2 linked regions of the Xenopus tropicalis genome follow. The protein of the gene in region 1 interacts with the protein of each later gene in a pairwise test. Links are inferred from orthologs where the notes say so. Each region holds a gene or a part of one and is shown on either strand. Other genes may lie near its edges.

Region 1 (3,656 bases):
CGGACACAGGGCTACTCGGTCATTGTGTTTTTTGGAACCTGAAAATGTGGTGCCATAATACTCCAGACAAGCCCCTAAATACTTCAATAGAAATCACCTGACAATTGCTCCTATCAAAGATTGCTGGTAATAGGACCTTGAAGATACTTACATTCAAATCCTGCACTCATCAGTTTTCTACACAATAGGTTTCAGATAGGAACTTGGCCACTGAGCTTTAAATGATCTTGCACAGAGGGTACAAGGTAAGTGATCTACTATTGACCTAGCAAGAAATACACTTACAACAGAAATACAACACAACAGGCAATAAATAAATATACTTGTGGTTTAATATTGCATTGAACAAGTTCACAGTTTTGCTCTCTTTTAACAAATCTACTTCTAAAGTAAAGTGCATACACAGCTAGAGTTCTGAAACATATTCGCACACAAGCCTCTAGTAAAGTGACGTTCTTTGGGAGTACCTTTGTGTACACAGTACCATATCCCAGTCTTCATCTAGCCCTCTAGGGTCTTAAAGGGGAGATGTCTTAGTAATCAACATGCACCCAAAGTGTAATAGATGTTTAATAAATCTGTTTCCTTAATTTTCTGCTAGCTCTCTTTCCTGCTCTGAATATCTATCATTCTGTTTGGCATTTGGCTATTCCAAATAATAATTCTGAGACTCAAAGCAGGAGATAGCTATTAGCAGCAGGAAAAAATGTTAGGGCGGGGAACCTACAAATAAAAAATAATTAAAGATTAAATATCTAAAATATTATAATATAAAATAAATATTTGTGAAGATTATTTAAACAAGGACTTGCTGTATATTTTTTAATCCTAATGACAGTTCCCCTTTAAAACACTAACCTCACAGATAAGTTATTAAAAACATGAATAACTCATTATCTCACCTGGATATATTTATTGTTGGTATTTAAAGGCCCCTAAGGCCTGGAGTTGAACAGGGCAGCAAAAGCAATATCATCTTATTATTCTTTGTTTTTTAATTACAAAATGACTATTCCATATAAATAATCCCCCAGATGTTAAATATACAATAAAACACTTATTAATATGATAAAACAATGAAACAGAATTTTGAACCCTTTCTGGTTACTTGTATCCATTGAACTTACAATTGTAAAAATTTGAGCTCTGTTTTTGGCAGACATATCTAAATACATTATGTGTAAGAGTTTCTTACCCTAATATTTGTCTATGTTAGCTTACCGTCTGCCAGGAGGCACTCGGTAACAATTTTATCAGTAGATAATGGACAAAACAGGGAGTTGTCTCCCATGGTTCCACTTAAATGTGTAAATACCCAATCATTATTTAGAAATTGTTTTACATTGTAACACAATCCAATGGTAACATTAAACCTTACAAAGCAACACCTTCCAACTCTTCTTCATTAAACACTGATTACAAGTTATAAACAACAGCATAACAACGTGCAAAGAGAAATGTAACATGGGATAACAGGACAGAAGGAGCAGGACAAGTGCCACAATGTATACTAATGACACAGGTACAATTTTGTGGCTAAGGGCACTTTTAACACCATGAAATCAAGTGACAGTATTAAGAATGTTAGGTTTATAACCAGCCATTCACAGAACTGTACATGAAAGAACACTGTAGAGGTAAATACATTCTCAGATACAGACACATTTAATTAGGCGCACAACATGCTCATCTGAGTGGTGTTTGTTCTACTTTGCAAAGATACCATAACACTATGTGAGAATTAACACTTTAACTATATAAGAGACGGTTATAGGGCATTTGTAAATGTTACTTGGGGTTTTTATGTATAATTTGGTTCAAGACAGCAATGGAAGGCAACAAAATAATGTGCCATTCACCATTCCAGGACAGGTTTCAGCCAACCTTGCCATCATTTTAATCCTTTATTTAACATACTCATCAGCTTCTAGTTTTGCTAGTTCTAAAAAGTATTTGCATTTAAAGTTAAAGAGTCAGTGGTGCATAATATTGGGTGTTTGCTTATTGCATCACAGGAAGGAGTACAGACTGTGAAAATACCACTTCTTCCTGTTTAAGTCCACCTTATTTAATAAATGGACCATGAACATATAATTTTTAGCAACACTTCCCATGTGCCAACCGTACCAAGTTAGGTTTAGAACAAGTATAAAACACTGGTTCAACCTGCTCATCCATAAGGTATGTATCCGACCAATTTTATGCCACACACATAGATAGACTGACAACTGCGCCTAATCTAAATTGGCTTGTACAGTAAAGTGGTGACATACTTCTTCTTGTAGCGATGAGTCGCACTAAGAACCATTACTCCATCCTGAAAAACAAAAATCGATACATCACAGAAGGTTGGTACATTAAGTGCGTTGTGGGTCCCCAACATTTATAAGGGGAAACTATTCAGTCAGCTTAGCTTGTGATGACTATCAAATATTATTGATCAGTTACAAGATTTAAGATTAGTTTAAGATAAAAACTATAAACTGAAATATAAAAATGTATACTGCATTATTCTTGTACAGTTAACACATCCCCCATTGCATTTAACTAAGTAGTAATTCTATGAATTTGCACTTTCAAGCAATTCTGAGAATTCATGCGCTGGCTTGTAAGGCAAAAAAATCTTCCACCCGCCCGTGTCCACTACTTCCCAGCCACTTATGTTGAATAGGTAAAAGAGCGGCTGGGGAGGGAAGCAGACCCCCTGCGACCGCTGCAATCTGGGCCCCCTGCAACCGCGGGGACTGCTTCCATTATAGTGTCCAGCAGGAGTGGAGTGTGGGACTGTGTCCTGGAAGAGACTGTGCCGGGATTTGGCTTAACCACACAGGTTTTCCAGAGCAGGCTTTATTCATATTTTAGCACTACTTTGACCCACACTCTTTCGTTTATGCAACCAGCATGCATGAAATCCTATTTCTTGTGAGTTACTGTCCCAGTTTTTTTTAATAAAGGAGCAGGTAAATCACATGAAGGGGCATATTTATGAAAGTGTAAAATTAGAGCTCACCACTGTAAAATACTCCACTCTGTTTCTTCATGTGGTATTTTTAGAGGAGTATTTATCAAATGGTACATTCTAACTTTCACCTATTGATAAATACGTCTCTAAAAATCCCAATGGAATGAACAGAGAGTGGGTGAATTTTACTGTGGTAAGGTCTAATCTCACAATATTAGATTGTTAACGATATTCATGATGCTGGCAGCTAAGCTGTATGGTAGTCCTTTATACTTTTCTGCATTACTAGGGTCTGAAATATTTCCTTTAACCCCTTATTAACAGAAAACTTTACCTTTATTGACAAAGCATACAGATGGTTTAGCATGACGTGATTGGGTTCTGGAAGGAGGGCAGGATCACACTAAAATAAACATACATGTGTTAGAGAAGGTTTTAACATAACTTCATATTCAAACTTTTCATGTGTTGCAAGTCATGTCTGTACACTTAAAACACAAAATGTGTTACCAGTAGGAGCAAATGATTGTCCTCTGCTAATACTAAGAAGAATGTTAGGAATTTTAAGTAAAGAGATAAAAGAAGGGTTGAAGTGTTGTGTAACCACATACTGACCTATGGGAAATGCCAGCATTAAACATGGATTTTGTATTAAGATGTGCCCACAAAAACTGTTCTACACATTTCTCTCTTT
Region 2 (3,756 bases), on another chromosome or scaffold:
TCTTGCATAAACAAATGACTAGATTCATCGTTACTGCAATTAGTGGGAATTATAAGATGTTATGGCAAATTTGTATGGAGTACAACACTTAGGGGAATGTTTCTTGTTGTGTTAAGAATGTTTCTTGTGTTAATAGTGTTAAAAATGACCTCCCAACTATATGGGATAGCTTTAGCAGATGTATTTTCTAACAGGTGACTTTTCAGTGGCAAAATCTGCCTCCCAGCTATCAAGTTTTACTCACAGTAGAACATAATTTAATCTGCATACTGATAAAGAACTGTTAGTATTAGTTTATTGTTCCTTTATGGTCATGTATAGTTGTAGAATTATACCATATAAAAGTGCATGTTGTAAAGTTCAAGTTGAACAGTCATCAGGAAGAGATAAAAGATCACCGCCCCTTTGTTTCTTCTGTTCTTTAGATTCATAAATGAAATTCTTTCTTTTTTCCTCAGACTGATTGCTTTTTTTGTTCCTCCTCACTTCTTGCTCTGAGAACTAGAAAAGCATTGGGGACGAGGCCAACCTCTTCCAAGGTACATGTATCATCTTCATACACACAGTAAGGGAAAGGGGTGATAATGTTGTAGGAGGAGAGATCAGGTGCCCTGCTTACAAAATATATAATAAGGAATGAGAAATAAACAGACTAAATATGTTATAGGATTTTAAAAAAACAAAAAACACATACCGGCACGAGGACAAGTAATTTCGCAAGTCGGCAAGGGTTTCTGAAGACAACATTCGCACTTTATATGTTTTATCACCAGACTCAGACCTGATCCTTAAAGTTGACACTACCATGTTGTCTTGTGTGCTAAAACAAATACAAATATTTATATTCTTTAAATCTTGTTGTATAGTTGTGATCCTACATCAGGAGAGAGAGAGAGATGGCAACACTGTCTTAAAGGAACAGTTCAGTGTAAAAATTAAACTGGGTAAAATAGACTGCGCAAAATAAAAAATAATATTAACATAGTTATGGAAAAATATAATCTATAATGGCAGGATTGAGCAGATGTCTAACATAATAGCCAGAACACTATTTCCTGCTTTCAGCTCTTAGTTAGTCAGTGACTTTAGGGAGGCCACATGGGACATAACTGTTCAGTTAGTTTGCTTTTGAATCTGACCTGTGCACTCACAAACTAACTGAATAGTTGTGTCCCATGTGCCCCCCCCCCCCCCCCCCAAAATCACTGATTGGCTACTGACTGATAATAGCTTAGAGAGCTGTAAAGGAGGAAGTAGAGTTCTGGCTGTTATGTTAGACATCTGCCCACTCCAGCCTTTATAGATTTCACCTTTGGCTAACTAACTATATTGAAACTATTATTTTATTTTGCACAGTTTATCTATTTTACCCAGTTTCATTTTTACACTAAACTATTCCTTTAAAACTCGCCAAAAGCAACATTCCAACAGTGTTCTTTACATTGTTTACAATTGTGCCATTATAGAAAGGATGGAGCCCCATGTGGCTACCCAAAGTCTTAGGGCTGATGGGGATAACTTTTATGGGCCCATGTACAGCAACACACCTTTTTGTGAAAATACATTAATAATAATAATAATAAAGCTGTTTTATTCTTGGCTTGAGAAAGAAAGCTTAACTGAAGGACATCAATAAAAAACGCTGGACTTTGAATAAATATAACTGTGACAACTGGATTTATGAGACAAAGGAAAACACTATATTTAATAAAAAAAATATTAAAAACAAAAACAGCAAAGATATTATGTAATGACTACCCCCCTTTAACCCTATGGAATACATTTTACTATCCGTACCTCTGCTCTTTTGATAGCTGTGGAGATTCCACTAAGATTTCTTTTGGCATCTCATTTTCTTCTGACCCCTTAGAAAAACAACAAGAGCTAACTGTCTGAAGATGCTCCACCAAACCCTCCGTTCCCATGGTCATGTACAAACCTGCAGAGCTTCTCTTACAGCACTTCGTACATGCACAATTCTACCCCCACGAATTACAGATTTAGGCAGTCTATTCAAGAACTGGTCAGTGGAAAGCTGTGGTCCTGTTGGTGGGCAGAATTTACAATGAAAATGTTCTATAAACCCTTAAGGGCTTGCCTTATTTTTAAAGAGAGCCCTTACCTGGTTTTTTGTTAGTTTGTAAATTACTTCCTGAGCTCCCAATAGTCTGACCAGAACCAGGAAAATCATCCCATCGCCGCTGCTCTTGGAAAATTACATTGCGGTTGTCTGTAACCTGCAAGGCAAAGATACTTTTCAAGAGTCCTTTTCACCTACATGCGTAGACTGTATTCTTCAGCAATTCTCTTACCTGAAATGTGACTCCATTAGGAAACCGGGCCTGCAGTTCAGAGGGAAAATAGCCATCCATGATATCTCTTATACATAGCTGTAACACAATGAAGGACAAATTATTTCAGGGAAAATAACTTCTTTCCCATCTGACATACCACTGTTTCTGTTTTCCTCACCTGTGTGGATTTTTCCTTGTAGGATCGAAAGGGCCCTTGGAACATAATAATCCCGTTTTTATACAAAGTCAATGGGACAGACTCGGGTGCTCTCAAACGGGCCCCTCCCTTTTGATACTCAATATGCGATTCTCCCTCACCTCCAAGTACATTCAAATCTCTTAAATTTTCCAGGACTAGATCAAAGTCTGGTAGGAAAGAAGTAGGTGAAGAAGGTCCTATGGAGATTAAAAAAATATTACTATAAATACAACTATTTTTAAAAGTCTCATATTACCCATTTATTTAATAAAAGTGTAAAGTGAAAACACCACTAGTGCTAAAGCTATAGGGACTGATTCCTGACAATAGGTGGAACTCCTACTTAAAGCATGTAAAAAATATTAGAGATGGGCCGAATCCCAGATTTAGTTTGGGATTCAGCTAAATCGGAGCCATTTTTAGCATGACATGGCCGAATCCAACCGCCTAGCTGAATCTGAGCCCTAAGTATTGAAAAATATTTGCAGCATGCCTTCCCCTGCATTTTCTGCTTCTGCTCTGGGCTTGGTTCGGTATTTAGCCAAATTCGTACCCAAGGAACTGAAATATAGGTTTGGTGCATCCCTAGTAAATATACAGAGAAGCAATATTTTTAGTTATTGTCAATCGGTGTGTTATAACATGGTTTTTCAATAATATGGAAAAGTTAATGCCTAGTGACATTTATTTCAAATACTAGAACCTAGGATTAAAGAAAATAGTAATTGTGGTGTATGCAAACATTTCACTTCTTCATTATTTAAGGTCCCTGGCTCTAATTACCTTAGCATTAATAACCATTAGGAGTTCTATTTGCCTGGCAACGCTGAGTACAGGCTTGTCTACTTATCTGATCAATGATACTGTAGCATTAGAAAACTACTTCCCATGTAGTTTAGCCCTTAATACACTGAATTTACACTGTTTAAACAGAAGTTTTCAGGGCTGACCCTACTCCATACTCCAGTGATATCCGAATAACAGATAGAAGCTTCTCATAGCCTGCTATGAACCGCTGCTTCCAAGGAGATTGTTTACAGTGGCAATGTTATAATCTACAATTACCTGGGCTCCATGTTCTGGCAGTGGATTCAGGTGAGACATCTGCATTGTTTTCCCCAACCCAGACCAGTCCATAATCACCAAGGAAACGCTAGGGAGGAACAAAACATTTCTGGGTCTCACTTATTACATAGCTATTAGAAAAAATATGGCACACCATACACACTCACCTCCATCTCAGAGATTTTTTTATTTAGTTCC

The links. The genes of interacting proteins can lie anywhere in the genome.
Region 2: the proteins of prkab2 (region 1) and ubxn11 interact in binary tests that used the Homo sapiens proteins (3 or more experiments, as listed by UniProt). The link is inferred for Xenopus tropicalis from reciprocal best matches to the Homo sapiens genes PRKAB2 and UBXN11.

The regions. Positions count from the first base shown.
Region 1 is NC_030680.2:118,100,513-118,104,168, reverse strand, and holds the end of prkab2 (5'-AMP-activated protein kinase subunit beta-2), read right to left. Parts: intron 3,366-3,656; coding exon 3,297-3,365; intron 2,318-3,296; coding exon 2,240-2,317; 3' UTR 315-2,239; downstream 1-314. UniProt on the Homo sapiens protein: Non-catalytic subunit of AMP-activated protein kinase (AMPK), an energy sensor protein kinase that plays a key role in regulating cellular energy metabolism.
Region 2 is NC_030678.2:77,353,580-77,357,335, forward strand, and holds the end of ubxn11 (UBX domain-containing protein 11), read right to left. Parts: coding exon 3,726-3,756; intron 3,647-3,725; coding exon 3,559-3,646; intron 2,691-3,558; coding exon 2,473-2,690; intron 2,391-2,472; coding exon 2,313-2,390; intron 2,238-2,312; coding exon 2,123-2,237; intron 2,044-2,122; coding exon 1,940-2,043; intron 1,866-1,939; coding exon 1,798-1,865; intron 821-1,797; coding exon 695-820; intron 612-694; coding exon 455-611; 3' UTR 274-454; downstream 1-273. UniProt on the Homo sapiens protein: May be involved in the reorganization of actin cytoskeleton mediated by RND1, RND2 and RND3. Promotes RHOA activation mediated by GNA12 and GNA13.